Linked DNA regions of Mytilus edulis. The protein of the gene in region 3 purifies or fractionates together with the protein of the main gene of each other region. This does not show direct contact. Links are inferred from orthologs where the notes say so. Each region holds a gene or a part of one and is shown on either strand. Other genes may lie near its edges. The genes, in order: bromodomain adjacent to zinc finger domain protein 1A-like, SWI/SNF-related matrix-associated actin-dependent regulator of chromatin subfamily A member 5-like and DNA polymerase epsilon subunit 3-like.

Region 1 (7,236 bases), on a different chromosome or scaffold from region 3:
AAAATCTTCATCAGATCTTAGGCCAAATCAAATTATATGTGTGGTTCCAGTTACATACTGTTAAAAAATAGGCTCGGTAGGTCTGCAATTTTTTTTATTTTTTGTAATATTTTTTTTTTGAATGTCAAAATCCGGAAAATTTGTGTGTTTACCGAAATTGTTTCTGGTATTATACACACCCCAACCGGAAGTCCACCATTTTTACATGTTTGGTTGTAAAATAAACAGTCATGATACGTTTTTAGTTAATTTTGTTGCATTCTGTTATGAATTCTTGCATTTTAGCCATAACAGATACTTGTGATGGAAATTCAGATGACAGCAGTGATCGGGAAGGACGTGCGCCCTGCGCCTATTGACAAGAAATGGCACATACAGTGACAAATGTAAGCGCCAACGTGGCGCACGATATTTTTCACTACGTTTTGAAACGCTTCGATATCATCAATTGGATTTCCGATCGTGTTCCGTGCCGCCATGCGTGTGTACATAACAGTGTAATGTTCCTCCAATAATAGGAGCACCTATATATTTTTGGGACGTCTCGGGTGTTTCCCTATGATAATAAAACCAGGCAGTTTCATGTATCGGGTATTTTCCTATTGTAAAAATAAGACCATGTGATCTAACTGATAACCCGAAAAAACGTAATTAACCATTATTCATGATATATTTTTTTTATAAACAACTTTAAATTTGTGAAATTTGGCTAGTACAGACGAGATTTAACTCTAAAAATAATCTCATTAAGTTTAGCTTGCTATTATTTCGATTGAAGAACCCCAAAGACTTTTTAGGAATATAGTGTTTGTCTCCATAAAAGACGTTTAACTGTCCTTGTCATTTTATGGTCTTTGGTACGTTTTGACATTTTGTAATCATGACTTCAGCGATTTGTTGTTTTGTGCTATAAATTAATGGTACTCTATACTGTTATTCTTGTCACCGTGATGAAGTTATAATAATACAAGAAATGCAGAGGAAATGCCTGAAATGTCCTCTGAAATAAGTATGGTATCGACGAAGACCCAAATTTAATGTACAAAAAAACAACCATGGACATGAACAAGGCAACAGTACCAGTTTAAACATTGTAAATAAAGGTTAACTTAAATATTGTTCGGGTTTGAAGAAGTTATTGTATATTCATTGAAATTGAAATTACAAAATCACAGGAACAATATCCATGATTTTATTTAAAATCATAAAGGTAAGTAAATGTACCAACATGTACACCTCTTTGCCAAAATATACTGATACTTTTTTTTGTTTACAGAAGTCAATTTAAATGGCCCACTCATTTGACAACAAGGCCCATTATTTTTAAAAATGGCCCATTGAATTTATTTTTGAGGGGCCTTGGGCCTATAGGGAAAAAAACCTTCCAGATCACTGTGACAGAAATCTATGAATTTAATCATTTTAATTCACAATCCTCAAAATTTGATCATTTGAAAATATATTTTTCAGAAATGAAAAAAAAAAGTTCTAGTGTCGAGGGGTTTTAACTAGGGTCGGTCGGGTTACTGGAACCACACATATATTTTTATTTGGCCTTATAAAACTGTTGACAAAAAAGAGTCCAACAAGATTTTTCTTTGAAAATCCATTTTATATAAAAAGTATCTTGTATCTCAGCTTGTAGACAGGCTAATTTTGCAACCAAACAAATTCAAAATGCTTATCTAAAGCATCCAGAGGCTTACCGTAAGCAACCAGATGAATTATTAATCAAACGCACCTTTACATCTTAGCCTTGATGTAAATACCATTTACAAAGTACTATGCAAATACATACTTAGAGCTATTACTAAACCCCTATTCCTGATAGTGATAGAGAGGGGGGCTTCAAAAGTTGTATTCTATTGTTGTATGCAGATATGCTTAGAAAGATTACGAAATGACAGTATCATTTCTAAGAAAAAACTTATGATTCTGTTCTTAAATATAAAACAGCACTTGTCCACCAATAGATGATATCTTTCTGTGGATACAGCGGAGCTGACTACCTTGAAAAGCAGTAATACTAAACGACTTCAACATGGATTGAGTACTTGCATGGGAATACATTTTGTATTCTCAGAATCCTTCACACATGCTTAAGTATATTAAAAGATAGAATTCCAGGTTGATGTAGGTTTGTATATAACAAATATGCATATTTATCAGAATAGATTAACCAAATTAATTGACCCATATACACATTCAGTAGTTCATTCTTGTAGAAGCTAGAGGAAAACACATTTCATAATGATATAAATTACCAAACAAACAAACAAAATATTTTTGAGGAACATATTTCTGTTATTTAGTGTAAATTTATATATAGGAAGGATACAAAATGGCCGACAGAAAACTAAATCACATTTTCATACATTAGATTAATAATGTTCACCGAACATCAGGGCTAAGAAAATAAACTTACTCATAATCTTTGAAGATTTCATTTGTCAGCTTACAATGAAATACATCGTCATCAGGCTGAAGGGAACTTGGTACTGGTTGTCTGTGAAATGGCTGTTTTCGTAATAGCGGCATCTTGAACTGTTGAAATTTTTTGGAGGGAATCACAAAGAAATTTTTGTTGAAACTGTTAAATAAGACACAAAATAGCTTTCTGCATGCTGTGACAGAATCTTCATTCGATGTGTCATAAAATGTCAGCTAAAATTAACACATGTAAACTTTGAAAACTAATTATTATGCTTAAGACTGCTAGGTCTTCGATCTCCGTCTGACAACGAGGTCATTTGATTGTAGCGTGAAACAGCACAATGTGAACTTCGCGCCGACCGAGAGAGGGGGGAGAAAACGATCGTTTTTCTACCACTTTATCTCTTCTTTGATCCGAAAATCTGTTTGACGATGAAAGTTAAGTAATTTATTTAACTAATGGTTGCGATAATATGTCTTTAAACATAACATAAAACAAAAAAACAAGGGTAAAACCGTAGTGTCTTCGAAAATTTCGAAGGAAAAAAGTACAATTTGGGCGGAGTCTATAAATGAAACAAACTATCTGATTGGTCACGAAATGAACGATTGACAAGGTATGTAAATTTCCCATTTGCACACTAAATCGACCTCTAAGACAAGAAATTGTTCAAGGGAAGTAACAACAGATCAATGCATATAAAACTAGAGGCTCCAAGAATCCTGTGTCGCTCACCTGATATTTTCATATGGGAGTCTAAAATATAAATGATAGAATTTGTTTATTTTTTTTACCAAAACGTAATATATATTGATATATGTTTAAAAAAAAAAAGATAGGCCACCGTGCATTTCTCAAGCTTCAGGTTGTGACAAAATGGCATATTTTGTATGGATTATAAAGGAAAATAAGTTGAAACTAAACTAAATGATAGAATTGTAATATAAATTTCGAAAAGATACTTTAATACAAGTCTTTGAGAATATCAAAAGAAAAGGTATAGGGTCACCGTACGTTTTTTTCGGCTAAAATACTACATATGAAAATTCCATGTATATATAGATTCCTTCAGAAAATGCATTGTTTCAGAGCTACATATCCCCTTAAATGCTAATTTAAAAATAAATTAAAAATCAACCAAAATAACATACACTTGTAAAAATATTAATTTTCATAAAATATATTCTTATTGATTTGTTCTTTTGAATGAAAATTCACATTAGTTATCGGCATTCCTGCATCAAATTTTTCTATTTTGATTGAAAATCTGGACCTTAGAATCTGTTTTTTTCACAAAACCAAGATGTAGAAAGACACCCATAACACCTTTATAACAGAAGCAAATTGGTAATTGGCAAATGGACTATTGATGCATGAAATAATGCAACCGATATACTTTTGCTTTACTAGTTTTAGAGATATCGAAGTCAAAAACTTTATTCTCCTTATGTTATATTTTTAGCCATGTCTACCATGTTGTTTGGCAAGCAGGTTTTATTGGTCACATTCTTTAAGATAGATACCCTAATGCTTATTGTGGCCAAGTTTGGGATAAAAAATTGTCTCAGTTGTTTCAGGAGAAGAAAAATTGTTAAATTTGACCTTAAAGGACAGAACTCCTTATGGGACCAATTGACCATTTTGGTCATGCTGACTTATTTGTAGATCTTACTTTGCTGAACATTATTGAATGAATTGCTGTTTACAGCTTATCTCTATCTATAATAATATTCAAGATAATTACCAGATACTTCAATTTTTCACACAGTCCTTAAAATTACCAAGGGTATCAATCCAACAACAGCTAGTCTGATTCGTCTGAAATTTTACGACAGATAGGTTCTAACCTGATACACAATTTTATACCATGTCAGATTTGCTCTAAATGCTTTGGATTCAGAGATATAGACCAAAATCTACCGTTACCCATACGTTCTATTCTTAGCCACGGCGACCATCTTCATATATACCATGCATGTATACTCCAATGCAGATTGTGACCAAGTTTGGTTAAATTTGGCCCCAGTAGTTTCAAAGGAGAATATTTTTGTAAAAATTTATGGACGACGGACGACAGACGCCAAGTGATGATAAGAGCTCACTTGGACCATTGGGCCATGGCCAGGTGAGCTCAAAAGGGGGAGAGGAATATTTTGAGAAAATTCTTCGAGGTAAAATACAGTTTATGAATTATATTACCCTTTAAATAAACTCATTATAGATACCAGGATTGAAATTTTGTATTTGCCTCAGACGGACGTTTCGTCTACAAAAGACTCTTCAGTGACGTTCGAATCAAACAAATTAAAAAGCCCAAAATAAAGTACGAAGAAACAATTATGTCAGATATCCAAGTAAGATCGATTTTTCCTGAAGCATCATTTATGTTATATATCGGTTCTAGTGAGATCGATTTCCCCTGAAAGACCAGTTATGTCAGATGTCCTATAAATTTGATCGATTTCCCCAAAGCCCCAATATGTCAGAATTCCCAATGAGAACTATTTTTTCCCCGCAGAACCATTTATATGGCAGATATCCTATTAAGATCGATTTCTCTGAAGCACCAGTTATGTCATACATTTCATTGAGATATATTTCCCTGAAGCACTATTTATGTCACATATCCTATTGAGATCGATTTCCCTGATGCACCACCTATGTCTTATATCCTAGTGAGATCTATTTCCCTAGAGCACCAGATATGTCAAATTGATATCGATTTCACTGAAGCACCATTTACGTCAGGTATCCTGAGATCGATTTCCCTGATACACCACCTGTGTCATACATTTTATTGAGATACATTTCCCTGAAGCACTATTTATGTCACATATCCTGAGATCGATTTCCCTGATGCACCACCTATGTCATACATTTTATTGAGATACATTTCCGTGAAGCACTATTTATGTCACATATCCTATTGAGATCGATTTCCCTGATGCACCACCTATGTCAGATATCCTAGTGAGACTATTTCCCTAAAGCACCAGTTATGTCAAACATAAAATTGATATGGATTTCACTGAAGCACCATGCATGTATGTCAGATATCCTATTGAGATCGATTTCTCTGAAACACCAATCATGTCAGGGGCGGATGCAGGAATTTTCGAAAGGGGGGTGCTAACCCAGGGCAAAGGGGGGTGCAAAACATATGTCCCGATACAAATGCATTGATCGGCAAAAATAAAGGGGGGTGCGCACCCCCGGAACCCCCCCCCCCCCCCTTGGATCCGCCACTGCATGTCAGAATCCTAATGATAACTATTTCCACGAAGAACCAGTTATGTCAGATATCCTATTGAGATCGATTTCTCTGAAGCACCATTTAGAATCATTTTCATAACAGCATGGACAACCGCAATACTATGTAGGTAGTTATACTGAATCATTAACCCAGTTTAACTTGTTTATCATAGGCTAACGATAACAGTGATTTTACGACCACTGCCAGAGGACTTCCAATGACGATTTAAATAGAATAAAAGAGTAAGGTACATGCAGGTGCACGAGAAGAAAAAAAAAGTTTAAGTACCCAACATTTAAATCAACACACAAGGTCTTGTTCTATGCTAGTTTTTCGTTTGATTTGATTTAGGCGTTTAGAATTATTGGCGACCCCTTCCCCCCAGTTTAAATGGCTGACAAGTAGGTGTTACAGACGAACGTCTACCTAATCTGACCCAATAAATTTAAAACCTGAGCGCGCAAAGAAAATACTGAAATTGTCTTATGAATTTTACGCTGTTATCAAAATGATTCTTTATCAGATATCTTTGTGGCATCGATTTCCCTGAAGAATCAGTTATGCCATACATCCTACTGAGATATATTTTCCTGGGAAAAAAACCCATTTATGTCAGATACTCGATCATGATCGATTGCCCTGAAACATCATTTATGTCAGATATCCCAGGGAGATTGATTTCTCTAAAGCACCAGTTATGTCAAACATAAAATTGATATGGATTTCACTGAATCACCATCTACGTCAGATATCCCTTTGAGATCGATTTCTCTAAAATATCAATTATATCAGATGTCATTGTGAGATGTGTCCTTTTCAAAGCATCGTTTATGCCATACATCCCAGTGAGATCGACTTCTCTGAAACAAAGATTATATCAGATATCCTTGTGGGATCATTTATGTCATATTTCCTAATGAGATCGATTTTCCTGAATCACCAATCATGTCAGATATCCTAGTGAGATCAATTGCAACTACCTTGATGCACCATTTATGTCTTATATCCTAGTGAGATATATTTCCCCGAATCACCAGTTATGTCAAATATAGTATTGAGATCGATTTACCTGCCAATCATGTCAGATATCCTATTGAGCTCGATTTCTCTGAAACACAAATTATATCAGATATCCTTGTGAGATCATTTCCTTCAAGCATCATTTATGTAAGATTTCCTTTTGAGATTGATTTTACTGAAGCACCAATCATGACAGATATCAAAGTGAGATCGATTACCTTGATGCACCATTTATGTTAGATATCCCAGTGAGATATATTTCCCTGAATCACCAGTAACGTCAAATATAGTATTGCGATCCATTCCCCTTATGCACCAATCATGTCAGATATCCTATTGAACTCGATTTCTCTGAAACATAGATTATGTCAGTTATCAGTTATGTCAGATATCGAACTATTCGTGAGAAGAAAGAAAAAAATATGTCAGATATCCTAATGAGATCGTTTCCCTGAAGCACCAGACATATTTCATATATCCGATCAAGATTGATTGCACTAAAGCACCACTTATGTCAGATGTCCTATCG
Region 2 (7,819 bases), on a different chromosome or scaffold from region 3:
GTTATTCGCCAAAACGTGTCCATTATTACACGCCATTTTTTCTGATATTTTAAAAGCTCTTAAAATCATAAACTGGTTATAAGTTTTTTTTTTATATAAATCATCAGGTTTCGATCACCACTAAATTCGGCCCTTTTATAGCTGACTATGCGGTAAGGGCTTTGCTCATTGTTGAATGTCGTAAGGTGACTTATACTAGTAGCTATTAATTCCTGTGTCATTTGCAATCATACCACATCTTCTTATTCATACTGTAGATAGGTTCTTTTATCATACCGGGAATTTAAGATTGGACCTAATTTCTAACGGTTATTCGGGATTAACACGTTGGGATTTTAATCTAAAAATAATTGAGAGTTAGTAAAAACCTAGTTTTTATAAATTCAGTAAGAAACGCGAAGAGAATAGCACATTCTCCCTACACGAGGTGTCTGATTTAATATCTTCACGTATTTATGTTATTGACACGAATGATAATTCCAGTAAAAATAATGGACACATTTTGGGGATTGGACACGTTTGAGTGGGTTTTTTTTTAATGGACACGTTTCTAAAGGCGTTTATACAAATGACACGCTTTGGCGCTGTTACAACTAGACATGTTTTGCAGTTCAGTGACGTCGATGTGGACACGTTTTGGGGAATCGGACACGTTTGGGGGGAAGGACATGTTTCTGAGTGTTACATATATATCGCTGATATAAACTTCAATTTGAAAAAAAATTTCAATTTTCAAAATGCCGACACCTACAAATAGATAGATGGGCGCTTAATGTAGTACAGTGGCAACTATTACATACATATGAATGCTGAAAATAATGTTTAGTGTATAGGTTTATATATGATATGAATGGTTTCAACTTTTACAAAACCAGAGCTATAAGTTTGATATAAACGGTTAATTTGTTTGGCCTTTTTAATTTTATTTGACTTTATTTGCCTTTTTAACTAGATTTGAATCGAGCGTCACTGATAAGTCTTTTGTAGACGAAACGCGCGTCTGGCGCAAAAACCGACAAAATTTATATCCTAGTATCCATCTATGATGAGTTTATGTAGATACCTTGTAACAATATCTTGGCTCCAGTCTACTAATATTTGGTCGTAGTACTCTTAATTTCAGCGTAAATAAGATATATATATATATATTTTATAACAACATTTTCGTTTAATAACACCTTATATCAGTACCGTTGTGCAAATCTTTAGACTGATTTAATTTTTTCCTTATCTGCATAGTATCGCCTATTCTAGACGATCCGGTACATAGTAAATTTGCTGGTTGGTCCTTTTTATAGACTTTTATATATATATATATATATATATATATATATATATATATATATATCAGTCTAAAGATTTGCACAACGGTACTGATATAAGATGTTATAATACGAAAATGTTGTTATTAAATCGTGCTGACAAATATTTCGGCTCAACAAATGGCCTTCTTCAAGTGTCACAAGTTTTAACAATACTGATACATGATGTATAAGGTGTAAAAATAGATCAGTAATAATACAGGTAAGTTTTGGTCGATTGATTTTTAATCCAAAAGCCTGAATATCATAATATAAACAAAACACTATAAATCAATATACGTGACTGTGTATATTAACAATAAAAATGAGTGAAAAAACAAAAACGCTAGTATTTCTTATTGATGCCGTTTGGATGATGTACATAAAGTTCCTTTATCCAAAAGCTTTCCCTAACCTGTCGCTGGGCATCACTCCAGTGAATATTCTGTTCAATCACTAGAATTTTCATGCGGTTAAAGTCATCAGGTTTGTGACCCGACTGTCTGAAGTGCTGAGAAACTGGGAGAAGTGGCTTCTTAGAGATATCACTCCTATGGCCATTGAGGCGTTTGTGGAAAGGCTGCTTTGACTCACCAACATATTGGAGGCCACAAACCGAACATTCTAGTATGTAAACAACATTCATACTTTTGCAGGTAACATTATATATATATAAAAAAAATAATAATAAAAAAGGCACATCAGCGAAGCTTCATATTTCAGAAGTATTGTATTTATATATATATATGTCATATTTCCATTGCCCTTGTCCACATTTTAGTAGTTCCGCGATTTGCTAACAAAAATTGAATAGCTGTAAATTTTATCAATTGAATTTCACACTGTTAATGGTTGTTAACTATGATCAATGTGAACATTTCGAGTTCTAGTCCTTATCAGGGGCGGATCCAGCCATTTTAAAAAGGGGGGTTCCTAACCCAGGACAAAGGGGGGGGGGGTTCCAACCCCCGGAACCCCCCCCTCTGGATCCGCGCCTGCTTATCTCTAATACCATAAGCAATACCGGTCAACTTTATTTGCTCGAATTGCATTTGTGCACATGACTTTTTTTATAACTTTATTTTCTTGGTTAATTGGTGAAGGTTGAGGGTGGTTTTTTTTGTATTAATGATTGAAATGTGTCAAAGTCCGTCAGGCAGATTTCATCTGACCTTAACTTTTATTTATGGTTTATTATTTAACAAAGTTAAGTTTTTATAGCACCGCAGGTAAATTATCACGTTGTGATTTGTTTAACGCCGTAACGTGGTGGCCCCCTATGAGACCGTAAGGGGTTCGTGACGCGTTAATTGTGACGTCATCTATTAATGTTGTTGTGTTTCATAGTTTATTTTTCAACAAAACGCAGCAGTAAAAGTCTAGCGTGCGATAAATTCGTTATACGGTTAACTACTGACCTCCTACGGATCCATAGAGTGTGTATAAAGTCCATGGGGGACTCGGCCTCCTAACCCCCTATGGATTTTAATTTTACTAACCCTCTATGGATCCGTAGGTGGTCAGTAGCGAACCATATTTAACTTATAATGTGACACTTTTGTTTAAGTCAAACTTTTATCTTGAAAATAAAATCAATTACGATCATAAGCAGGCGCGATAATTTACATTTTAGTGCGTGCATTATTGTATGAATAACACGTAGTGTCTATTTATGTTGAAAAACGAAGGGTGACATTTTTTCCGCATGTTTGATTTGTTTCCCGCTCGTTTGTGAAACTTAATTGTGAATTGTTAGACAAAATTATGAAATTTAAGAACAATGAAATTTTGTTTGGAATTCTTTGTTGGTTTTAGCCAACCTAACCCAAAATGAAAGGTGAGCTTTTCTCATTACATCGTTCGTCGTCTTCCATTAATTTTTACAATAATCTTCTCCTCTGAAATTACTTGGCTACATTTAACAAAACTTGTCCACAAACTTTTGTCGGTTTAAAAGGTCGAAAGAGCTTATTCTTTCCTGTTTTGTATGCTTTTTAACGACTTTAAATACATTTCCTTTTATTTGATTTGACAATCATCATTGGGATATAAATCAAGTTTTTAAATCATGTTTCGGTTATCCCGCTTACAAGTATGTTTATTTTGGCCGACATGCAACATCGGGGGATTAGGGAGTTTTGTCTGGTTTTTTTTAAAACCGCAATAGATAAAGAAATCGTTGCTTTTCATAATTCATTTGTGGTTTCCAAAAAAAAAAAACACCGGGTCTTATACAAATACAAAACCGGGTCGTTGTGTAGTAAACAACTCTGATAACTCCGGGTCTTTCTATTTGTCATTTATGTCCATGCACAGAAATACAAGTAGTGAGGTTTTCAAAGTGGCTATAGTCTTGCAATCTCCATGTAAATATCTTCCGTCCCGTACCTTTCTTTACAATGAGTATAAATGAGGGGGGATAGGACCTTTATCGGGACTCCGGGATCGGGTGTTTTTAAGCTCGGGATTTCGGGATTGACCCATTCGGGATCCGGGAATTCTTTTTTTCGGATTTCGGGACGTCGGGATTAACTTTATTTAAATTCGGAATTTTGGGATTTCATGTTTTTAAGCTCGGGATTTCGGGATCAGGACCCCTCCTATCCCCCCTCATAAATTAACAGGAAATTAAAGGCAAGGTTCACTATAAATGTATCATCTTAATTTGCAATTTCTACATTAATCTATAAAGATTACAGAAAATATAGCACCTCAAAATCGAAAATTGTATGTATTTATACTCTTGGATATCATAAACAAATAGTGCACAAATACCTACTTTTTCCGTCTGCCTGTTGATGTTCCATCACAGTTCCGAACATCAGATATCATTGAGTTCACACTTTTTACCGGGATAGTTTAGACACAGTGTACATGTGCTGAGTTTTAACTAACAAAGTCACACAAAATAATTCTCTGAAATTGTAATTTTGGCAAAAAAATATACAAAAAAACGTCAGAAAACTATTCTCGGATATAAAGAAAACAAAACGGAAAAAATAATATTAGATGGCAGTTTTATTATTAAATGGCGAAATAACTTTAAATAGGTGCCTATTTGACAAGGTGCATTAGCAATATAGAATATAGGTACCGAATACACCTTATCGCTAATCCCGGCTGACCCGGCCGATTGAACTTTTGACGCATACAACAATCACTTTTCCATTGTGGCGTCAGGTATTTTGTTTTGTGACGTCAAAAATTTACGGGAACCTGTGTGATATCTAGTTATGGCGGACAAATAGCGATAAGGTGTATTGACCAGGTCACGTATTCCTCGATGGGTACTCCAAATAAAGGAGGGATCTACGTACATACATAAATTAGACTAATGTCTGTCTAAATTGTAAAGTTATTTATCCAACCGAGTCTATTAAAGTTGTGAATAACTAAATTTTAAGGTATGCGAAGCAAAAAATAAACCAAAAAACAAATGTTCAATTCTGGGTCTAATTCTAAGGTCAGAGTAAAGGGATATATTTTAGCATTTTCCATAACAATTGCGCAAGCGTGAATTTAACTTCCGGCAAAGCGCAAATTTTGCCGGTGATTCGAAACGACAAAGAAAACAGCATATATTTTAGCAATTAGTCTGAGTATAGACCAAACAAACCATGTCTGACTCAGAGGCTGAAAGTACCAACGATGAACCAATGGAACTAGCTGTAATTAGCCTTATAGAAATTGTGGAAAACGTTTAACAACAAACTGATATATAAAAATTTGCATTTTTGCGGGAAATTGTCGTAAAACTGTTATTGAAATATTACCAAACAATTAATTTTCTTAAGCCCTAACTGTTTTACTCGTACATCATGACATACTTTGTGGTTTAGGGTTCATGAAAACAAATGTACAAAAAATGGCTGTGTCACTGTCTGTGTTTACAAAACTTTACAAATCTCAAACTACTGAGTGTATAGTACGGTATCAGGTCCGTTCGCGCCCAATATACTTTCGCACCCTACACGTTCGCACCTCGCACGTTCGCACCCAAGGTCCGTTCGCACTCTACACGTTCGCGCCCAATTTTAATTCAAATTCGAGTTGAATAATTGGAAAATCATGATTGTTGTTTTTAATTGCTTTCGTGTAAATACTGAATGTATTTATAGCTTGGTATGAGTAAAAGATTGAAGATTTTAAATGAAAAACACAAAAGATAATTGTTTTTAACAGCTTGGTCCCTTTGATCTGAAATAATGAAACAATACACTATTATATATTACTATACATGATAAAATTTAATCAACACACAAAAAAAAAAGGAAACGTAGTCAGAATCTCACTTCATTTTGAAACAAGTCAATGAAACAAAAGTTATAGCAATACACTAACCAAAACATGATAAACAGTTATTCAACACAAAATAAAACGTTGACAGAATCCCACTTTATTTAGAAAGGAATATATTTTTTTTTAACAATACACTATCCAAAACATGATTAAGATTTATTCAACACAAAAAAAAATGCTGTCTCACTTTATTTTGAGACCATGAAAACAATTATACTTATAAGAATACTACTTGCCAAAACTTGATTACAAAGTTATTAAACACAAAACCAATTAAAACTGGGCGCGAACATGTAGGGTGCGAAAATGAAAGGGGGCGAACATGAGTGGGTGCGAACGTGAATGGGCGCGAACGGACCCGGATTCGTATAGTACCAGGATTTATCACAAACTGATGTGTATAACCTTGTTCTCAGTACCATATTGCATTTCTGAGAACTCAGAAAAGCATTGTACCCCTGTGATGCCAAAAAAAATATATCTGTTTAAGGTTACATCATCAAAATAAATAGGGTAGGTAGGTCGGTATGTCCATTTTATTTTTTTTCCTGCAGTCTGCCTTGCCATGGGCCGAAGTTACCCGTATTTTTAATGATTGGATTATTTCCCTTTGTTATTGATTGGGAAAAAATGACGGCAAAATGTTTATTAATCACACGAGTCGCAAATTTCCTTAAAACAGCTATCATATTCATGATTATGAACATTGGGATGCATCAGGCAACACTATCTTCACTTTTAACACGAGTTCAGTTTATTTTTCACTTCACAACTGAAATAAAATGGCTTAGGGTGGGCGCTCAAAATAGGGTCGGTCTGGTAACCATAAACAAGAAACATATAATAATTTATTTTTTTTGGCCTGAGTAAATTTAAATATAGAATGCAGGACGCAACTTCCATGGGATGAAACGTGTACCTTGAAAAGATGTAATGGCATACTTGTGAAAATGCATCGTCCATGTACTTTTTTTTTTAAATACATTTTATTAAATCAATTACATAATATATATATGTACATCAAATGGATGTTTAATATCTTGTATAAACAAACTGAACAAATAAAACAAATAAGAACATTGAAGAATCAATATTCAAATGGATGATTAATTTCTATCATCTTCAAAACAATAAGTTAAGTTTGAAATATAAAACAAAGTAATTAAATACATGTAATGATTAAAAAAAAAGTGTTACATCTTGCAAATGAAAATAGATATGTATTTTTACAATTCTTACTTGCAGGCAAAGGAATATGACTCGAATATTACAAGTTTAAATTATGCATGGTTGCAATGCCTAATAATCACAAGAGACAATGATTAATCAAATTTTGATTGGCTAATAAACATGATTAAATCCCATACTTTCTACATAAAAGCTTGGCTATAACATGTCATATGTTGATTGTTGACAGTCATGTGCTTTTTTGACTGGAAAATAGGGGATTCTGACAAACACCTGCAATAGGAGTTTTATTAAAATCTATATGATCAACATGATGAATAATAACTTTTTGGGATAAAAATGATAAAAGTGAAGCAAGTATCAATAAGAATTAATGACTAAGATAATAACGTACAATGTATACCTTGCTAATAAGAATAGAAATCCTTACCTACTGACCCTACTTTTAAAATTACATATGCCTTTACTATCAATATCATAAAAAGTGATTGATTGGTGTTTAATTCCACTCTCAGTACAATTGTGTTTCTGTATTTTGTGTGGTCAGATGTTTTGAAGCCTGTACAATTAAACACAATCTATTTAATTTTCTATTTCAGCCAACCATTGAACCAACAGTTCTACTTAAGTCTCCACCTAAAGTGAGGAATCCTCAGGAAAATGCACAATTTGAAGCTAAAATTGTAAGTATTGCCTAAAATGTTATGCTCCTGATGCAGATCTAGAGGAGCAAACATTATTATATAAAAAAGAAGATGTGGTATGATTGCCAATGACACAACTGTCCATAAGAGACCAAAATCACACAGAAATTAACAACTAAAGGCATACCTGTCAACCTGTGACGATGAAAATGCAGGTCATGACCTGCTTTGAAGAATCAAATCTCAGGTCATAACGCGTACAAACTTTTTCTAGCTGAATTTCAGTATTTATGGTACATTTTCTTATAATGTATATCAAAGATACCAAAACATCAATGCATGTTCACTTGGTTAAGTCATTTTAAATCTTATTTATTATTATTTCAT
Region 3 (8,057 bases):
TCTAAAAATATCCCAAATGAAGAAAATACCTGAAATTCAATTCAACTAACTATTGCTTTTTTCCTTTGACCAACTAGAGAGAGTATAAAAAAGAAGATGTGGTATGATTGCCAATGAGACAACTGTCCACAAGAGACCAAAACCTATCCAACAGTTTAGACTTCTTTTTTCTTACAATGTACATGTAGCTACATGAACCAATAAAAAAAATAATAGTTTGTTTCTGAATTTTTAATTTTTATTCCAAATTTTAGTCTTGTGTTGGTTGTATACATTGTACATGTCATTCCAAATGTTGGTTTTCTGCCCTCTAATCAGCTGGGCAATTTGCACAATTGTTTCTGCATACACGTAGTTGGTATTGGTAATGTTTTCTACTCTAGCTCAGTCAATATAGTACACTGGATATGTAGGATGGCTTGTTTCGAAGCTAAGACATTTTCACATATATGTGGTTAAATTTTCGGAATACGAAGTGCGATTTTTTTTCACACAACAATTTCTTTGAAAATTTAAAACTTTGAATACATTAAAAAACTTCATAGTTTTTACATATTTATACTATGATCCTCTACTTTCCAGATCAACACAAATGGTAAAGCTCAGTCACTTGTTAAAAATGAAACATGTTCAATATCACTACAGAGACAATTTTTGTTTACACACAACTTTTGTGTTCCTCATTTGATGGCGCATTAGTTCCTCATTTGGAGGTGCATTAGGAATATTGACCCAGCTGGTCTTGTGTTGGTTTCAGATCTCTGAAAAAAAAATCATAAATTATAAAATACAAAAAAATAAATTGATCCCAACTTATGAATTACAGCAGTTCTTAAAAATTATCCTGTGTTTACACATAATCAATATTTTTTCTATTGCTGGTCTTATAATAAACTGCAGATTCATAATTATTTTATATTGTTACTGAGATGTTTGTATCTTTGCCAATTATACACATTTTGATGATGTACATGTATGTTAGAAATTTAACACAATTTCAACAGTATATAATTATTCATAACTTATGATTAACCTTCGTTCTTATTTAAAAAATAAATTTGTTGTTAAATTGAACATGTGTTAATGAAATTATGTCTGTTCCAGAAAATACTATGTCCGCCCCTAAGGGACAGCCCTAAGCCCTTTTTAAAAAAAAAAATTCCAGCACCGACAGAATTAAAAATTAATAAGAACAACACTTCCTTTGCATTTTGGTATTTCATACACAACCACCCCCAAATAAAATTTAAGAAAAGAGCTTTCCCTGGGGGAGAGGGGACATAATATTTTCTGGAGCAACCAGTGGTTATTCTACAAATAATTAATAAAGGAAGTTTGGTTTCACAATATTGTCATTTTTCAATTAATTTAAGATATGCAAAGGATTCTACCTTAATAAATTTAGCATGTACATCGATACAACAAGACCTCATATCATATGCCAATGAACGCAATCTATAAAATCAACAAAATATAATTTGATAAATGAAATTAATATAAGAAGAATGTGTCCATGAGCCACAAATGATCTTATCAAACTTAATTTAAAGGACATATCTAGAGAACAGTAAAGCAGATGCTCTCCAAATTCAAACTCTGCATTTTATGATAATAAGCGTTGTGTATTGGTTGCATAACATGTGGTTTAGGCAAACGTTAGATAACAAAATCCAATTTTGAGTTCAATGTACATGTATGTACGTACAGTACAAGAGTTAAACTATATCACTCAGTTAAGGAGGACAGAAAAAGAGCTGATCAACTGATGTTTACCTTTTTAAAATCTTGGTCCAAATTCTTGAGCTGGTGCATGCTTAACTGTTACATGGTTACTGCAATGATTTCCTCAACCTCAGACACATTGGATCTGTGGATTTATATACAAGACTCTGGAAAAATAAATAAAAATACGTTCAATTATCTTTTATATTCTTCTGTCTGTTTCATATAAAAAAGAAGATGTGGTATGATTGCCAATGAGATAACTCTTTACAAGAGACCAAAATGACACAGAAATTAACATTTATAGGTAACCGTACTGCCTTCAACAATGAGCAAAGCCCATACCGCATAGCCAGCTATGAAAGGCCCGAAATGACAATGTGAAACAATTCAAACGAGAAAATTCACCGCCTTATTTATATAAAAAAAAATGTTAGTCCAACAAATCTTTAGGAGAACAAAGTGACAAATTTAAATGCATTCCAAAATTCATATGTTTTATGATTGATTACAACATGGTTTCTGATCACATATTTAGTGATTGTACATGTAGCTCGTCATTGATAAACATGTAGATTTCATATTATAATAAAATTGACGGTACTAATTTTCTTGCACCAGATGCGCATTTCGACAATACATGTCTCTTCAGTGATGCTCGTGGCCAAAATATTTGAAATCCAAAGTTTATATAAAAGATGAAGAGCTATAATCCAAAAGGTCCAAAAAGTATTCTCTCTACGAGAGAAGCTCTACTGTGATAGTCGAGTTGACATATTTATAGACCCTCATTGATAGGATTTCAACCTCCTGTGGTGAAAGGAATCAGAGCTTTGCATGAGGGAGATTCATTCCTTAATTTATAATAATTTCTAATATATTGTTAAATTGTACAGCAAAAAAGATGTCCCTATGTACTGTTTTAACACCTGTAAACTGGGTTTTACCCTGAAAACAAGAAAATTTTACCCAACTTTCAAGGCTAGATCCTAGTCTAAATCATTATGACACTTTCAAGACTTGGAAGGCTGTTTTTTTATTTTTTTCTGGGACGCCTTCCTACAACGACCTAATCCTATTGCGACAACCGTGATGGCTATCTTAATTTTTTTCTGTGGCGCCTATATTTTACAACATCTTTATTGGCACAATTGTCTATTTCCATGTCAGACCCAGTGATACAATGATTGATCGTTTGTTGCTCAACATCCAGTGGCAAATATTTCATGCATGTTAGCGACGACCCCCAGTGATATATGCAGCATTATCATTAATAGGCCAGGTTGGTAATATGCCAAGTTTGAAATGTGCGGAGTTTGTAATGGACCCAAATATCTAAAGTGCTGAGATGTTTAGCTTCACATTTTCTGATATTGATAACATGGATAAGACTTTTATGCTTCAATGATTATCAAAAAATAACAGAGCAGACACTTGTAGCCTTAATATATAGGGATAGTAGCTCTTGTCACAGATAGAAAACAAGTACTTGTGGCTGTGCACCCCTCCCCCTTTTTTTTACTTTCTACAGTTTTTACTTATTTTTGGATCTCCTGAAACAACACAAGTTAATCACGAAATTTAAATAACACACATCATGGCTAAAATATCTTGTATCAGTGCAATATATTGACAGTATAAGAAAAAGTATCATATTTCAACACGATCACGTATAACCGACTTGAAAGAGGCGCCCAACACGGTAACAGCTGTTTTATTTTCATCAATCAAACTTGTTTTTATCATGGAGAACCTATTTGGTGTAATGTGCAATCATTATTTTACCTTTTTCTTTGTTCTGGAATCTGGATCAAGCTATATTTCCACTGCCTCACTGTTTTCAAAAATCAAGCGGCAACAGTGCGCATGCTCAGACTTTTCATAGGATGCAGCGGTAAAACCCGAGTACTGCTGAACGTTACACTAATCAAATCGTGAAAAACGATTATGAAATCCAAGTGATAAATGATGACAAAATTTTAATGATATAATAAACAATAAATATTCATATAAAATACATATATTAGAACATTAAAATTGGATTTGTAATATTTTCTTTGACATCTTGATGCAAATTATGTCTGCGGGAAAAAAGGGGGATTTTTTTTTTAAATCGATAAAATCGTAAATATATTCTAGTGAAGGTGAATGATTGATATATCCAGGAATACTCATTATGACATACCCCAAAAATTCGTCCCATAAAACCAGATTTTTACAATGTATTCACTACGTTCTTATAATCGGATTATGACAGTTATAAGCACGTTGTCACAACGTAATAAAATGTTACGTCCTGACAAGGTACTAAATTTACGTGAATCCGACGTAATTTCATAACGTCGTCTGTACGTCTGCATCCAACGTTGGATTTTTACGTTCCCACAACGTTGGTACGACGTAAACTCACGACATGACGTTCAGACGACCATTAACCGACGTCGGGAGTACGTCGTGTGTTTACTGGGTCGGTACTCAGAGTAGTTTTTGAGGTGAAAATACGGCCATATTTGTCCATTAACAATCATACAACTGGTACCATTCTTCATGTTCTTACAAATTTTGTTTTTCTATTTTGTGTCTTGTATCCCTGAATAATCATTATAGTCAAAAGAAATATAATGAAGAAATCACCGGTAGCATACAGCACATGTAATAAGAAAAACAAGACAAAATGGACCATGGCACTGTTTTTGTAAACTTATTGGAGCTGAAATTTTGACAAGGAAATGTTATAAGTTGAACTAGAAAATGCAATTAGTTAATTACTTTCACTTTACGTGCTATGGGTGTACCTTAAGCCCAATGAAGTGTTCGCTGTTTACCAAAATTAGGACAGTCGTAATTATGTACCGACCGAGCCTCTTGACAACTTTTCCAACTTCCGGTTATGGGAATGGTCTGCATAGAATAAATTAAAAACAAATGACACATTATGTGCATAAAGTGCTTATTAATGAAAATATGAAACATTAGTTTTAACGATCACTTCTATACATTGATCATTTTAAAGGAAAAATGGAACATTAAATTTTCTGCATATATGAAAATATATCTAAAGGACCGAAAATATAGCAAGAAATGAAATACCAATATATTTACTAATGATATTTGAAATCATTTAAATTCGAAATTAAGAAGGAAAGATATAATAACTGGATGGACTTGCATTAATCATTTATATAAATATTGACAGATATTTATCTTTATTTGATTGATCGTCTTTTCGGTTTTTAACAGCACCATGGCCAGTAGTAATTAAAATGGCGGGAAGCTTGGAAAACAAAGAAGGATACCAACATAAGTAAACGTCCTGCAACATTAACTCGACAAGAGACTTTCACATCAACTATCCTGTTTTCTTCATCTATTACATTTTGACAAATGTAAGATTGTACTGACGTCCGGGGCTGTTAGTGTTATTTTTTAACACAACTAAAAATTAAATTTAAAATTAATAAATTTTAAAATAAAAATCACAGGCACTTGTTTACTCGTAAATAAACGTTAATAGTGGGTCTTCCCATGGAGAGAAACAAGTGGCTGTGATAAAAATCTAGTTCAGCCGTAGTCGTTTCTACAATAATAGTCAATTCGGTCACAATATTCTAATGTTGTTATATATGCCTCCTTAACCTTATTTTATGATGGAGCTATTCGCCGTTTCAGAATCTAATGCATCCTGGGTAATATTTTCAAAAGCGTACACCAAAGCGTTTTGATTGGTTTAAAACGTCCTAAACAATCGAAATTCAACCAATGACGTAACGTTATTTTCACTTTGGGGTAAGAACAATACACCTTATCGCTAATCCCGGCTGACCCGCCCGCTTGAACTTTTGACGCATACAACAATTACTTTTCCATTGGGCCGTTTTTATTAAATAAGTTGGTTTACGGATCCGCCGACCCGAATTTTCGCTAATTCAAATAAAAATAAACGCACATTTGTCCTTAAAAATTATTTCCGCCGACCTCATATTTCTCGATTTACTAAGAAAATTTTAAACGGAATTTTTGTGTTTACGTTTCGTATTCTGGTTCCTATTACTGCATTAAAAAATCGTTAACCAGTGCACCGGAACGTGACTGGTAAGCTTTCCCCGACACCCAAAAGCGAAAACAAGTCGCCCTCTTCTTGACGATACTCGCTTTCAGTCGCTTCCGTCATCGGACATTTTCAATTTTTACCAAGTTGATGAAACATCATTTTTTTATTGATAATTAAAGAAATTAAGACATAAACGGTTCATTATCTTAAGAAAAGAGGCTGAAGCATTGTATTTGCAGTGTGTAGCAGTTTATTTGATAAAAAATACAACTTTTTATCACCTCGACCATTTTTGCAAGTTCCGGTGCTTGTTACTCGAAAACGTACATCAACCTAAATTTCGGCGGTAAAATAAGTTTGTTACTTCATTTAAACGTGATAAAAGTTGCCTCTAGTAAATGTTTAATCCATTTATTGCATTAAAAACGTCATGTTCCTTTCCAAATAACTTGTCAAACATCGTTTATTTTTGTAAATTTTCTTGCATTCGTCCGCCATTTACCGATTCCTAAAGTACGGATCTGAACCGGACCAGCTAAACCGAAATCCGTACTTTTACAATAATTATTACGGACGCACGGATGGAACAGCTGACAGACGAATATTGACCACAAAGGAAAAAATTACGTATTTCACATGCATTAAGAGACTTTTAGTTACATCTAATTGATTGGTGTATATAATTCCCTATATTTTTTATGTATTGAATTTGTTTCAAACTTTATTAAAGTTGCTTAACTCGGAGACTATTACACTAGCCAGGGCCGTAACTACATTGAGGCAAATGAGGCAAATGCCTCATCTTAGAAATTAAAAAAAAAAAAAAAAAAAATGAAACAAAAGATTGTCTTAATTTCAAATTGTTTTCACGGAAAGTGTCTAACAAGAAGCAAGTTCTCTTCACTCTCTGGTGTCGCCCCTGCATGTTTTTCGTGATCCATGTTTCTTTTTTACTTTTAGTTTTCAGAATTGATGGTCTGTTGTTTGAACTTCTGTGTCCCGGGTTTGTCTTTTGCTCATTTATTGTCCTACTTTATGACAATAGTCTGAGTGTTGATTTTCATTTGTAAACGTGTAGTTATGCAATGTTGCATGCCCACTGATGTCCAGATATTGTGCGAGAAAATATTTTAAAAATATACTAGACATAAAAAAAAAAAAAAAATGGTCGTTTCTGCATTGAGAATTGAATTTGATATCAGAGAATTCACAACTGGCTTCTTTTGGTTAATAAAACTAGATAGCTGGCATGGTTTAAATTAGAGTAAGGTCACCAATTTTACGGTATCAAATAATTTGAAAAAAAAGCAATAATGTATTGCCATATGACCATTTCCATTGATGTGTTAAACTTGCATTATCGTCATGTTCAGACCCTTTTACAGAAAATAAAGGAATATGGAGTAAATGTGCACGAAACCTAATCGCACACAAAGTCATTGCATAAAAAAAATACTAATGATCAATCATTTGGTCAAAGTTGCTGGAGGGTCTTCAACAATAAAAGAATCATTAATACCGTAAAACAGGGTCAAGATGGTCCCTAGTGTCGACTTAAGCAGTTCTAGTATTTAAAGCATAATACTGCACTGTCACTATATTCCAATCTAGTCATAAAAATGTCACCAAAGTCTAAGCACAATACAAGACTAAAACAGACAGACAGATCCGGTATTAATGATTAGGAGAATTACGAATTTTGCGTTGTCCATAAAACCTTAAAGACTAAAATTAAAATGAATCTATGTTTTTGCTTTCAGACCAGAATATTATCGAAAGAAAGCTAAAAATTAATTGCGTTTCAATGTCAGAAAGAGTCTGGGAAACGCTCAGAATGCACGATTTTGCGTTATTTTTCTCAGAGCTTCTGGGGGGCCTTGAGCGGTCCCAGTCCCCTCGCCAAATTTTTTTGCCTCGCTCCGCTCGGCGATATATTTTGCCTCACTATTTGAAGAGGCTAGTTACGGCCCTGCTAGCTAATATCAATATATTATGGCCCAGCTTAAATTATATATTTTTTGATGAGAGACACTGAATTTCATACTTAAGATAGTTTTGAATTAAATTGTAATTGATATATTATAATTTCTTTACATTTTTCAAAATAAAAAAAAATTTTTTTTAGTGCTAGATATTAAATATTTAGTTGGAAGTTTCTCACAAGAACCTAAGTAAAACTTTTAATTTGAAATGTTACTTTAATTGTATACTCAGATATGAATTGAACAATATAAAAAGAACATTATTTAACATATGACCCTTTATACTATAGTAAAATCCAAAC

What was found.
Region 1: the proteins of DNA polymerase epsilon subunit 3-like (region 3) and bromodomain adjacent to zinc finger domain protein 1A-like purify together in Drosophila melanogaster (affinity purification with western blotting; 3 studies listed by BioGRID, with this or other methods). This does not show direct contact. The link is inferred for Mytilus edulis from reciprocal best matches to the Drosophila melanogaster genes Chrac-14 and Acf.
Region 2: the proteins of DNA polymerase epsilon subunit 3-like (region 3) and SWI/SNF-related matrix-associated actin-dependent regulator of chromatin subfamily A member 5-like fractionate together in Drosophila melanogaster (co-fractionation; 4 studies listed by BioGRID, with this or other methods). This does not show direct contact. The link is inferred for Mytilus edulis from reciprocal best matches to the Drosophila melanogaster genes Chrac-14 and Iswi.

Annotation. Positions count from the first base shown.
Region 1 is NC_092346.1:30,367,227-30,374,462, reverse strand, and holds the start of bromodomain adjacent to zinc finger domain protein 1A-like, read right to left. Parts: upstream 3,022-7,236; 5' UTR 2,539-3,021; coding exon 2,426-2,538; intron 1-2,425.
Region 2 is NC_092351.1:84,269,618-84,277,436, forward strand, and holds the start of SWI/SNF-related matrix-associated actin-dependent regulator of chromatin subfamily A member 5-like, read left to right. Parts: upstream 1-4,797; 5' UTR 4,798-4,918; coding exon 4,919-4,969; intron 4,970-7,387; coding exon 7,388-7,471; intron 7,472-7,819.
Region 3 is NC_092345.1:43,553,139-43,561,195, reverse strand, and holds the start of DNA polymerase epsilon subunit 3-like, read left to right. Parts: upstream 1-4,949; 5' UTR 4,950-5,108; exon of another isoform or gene 5,109-5,134; intron 5,135-8,057. UniProt on the Drosophila melanogaster protein: Accessory component of the DNA polymerase epsilon complex. Participates in DNA repair and in chromosomal DNA replication. Histone-like protein which promotes nucleosome sliding of ATP-dependent nucleosome remodeling complexes.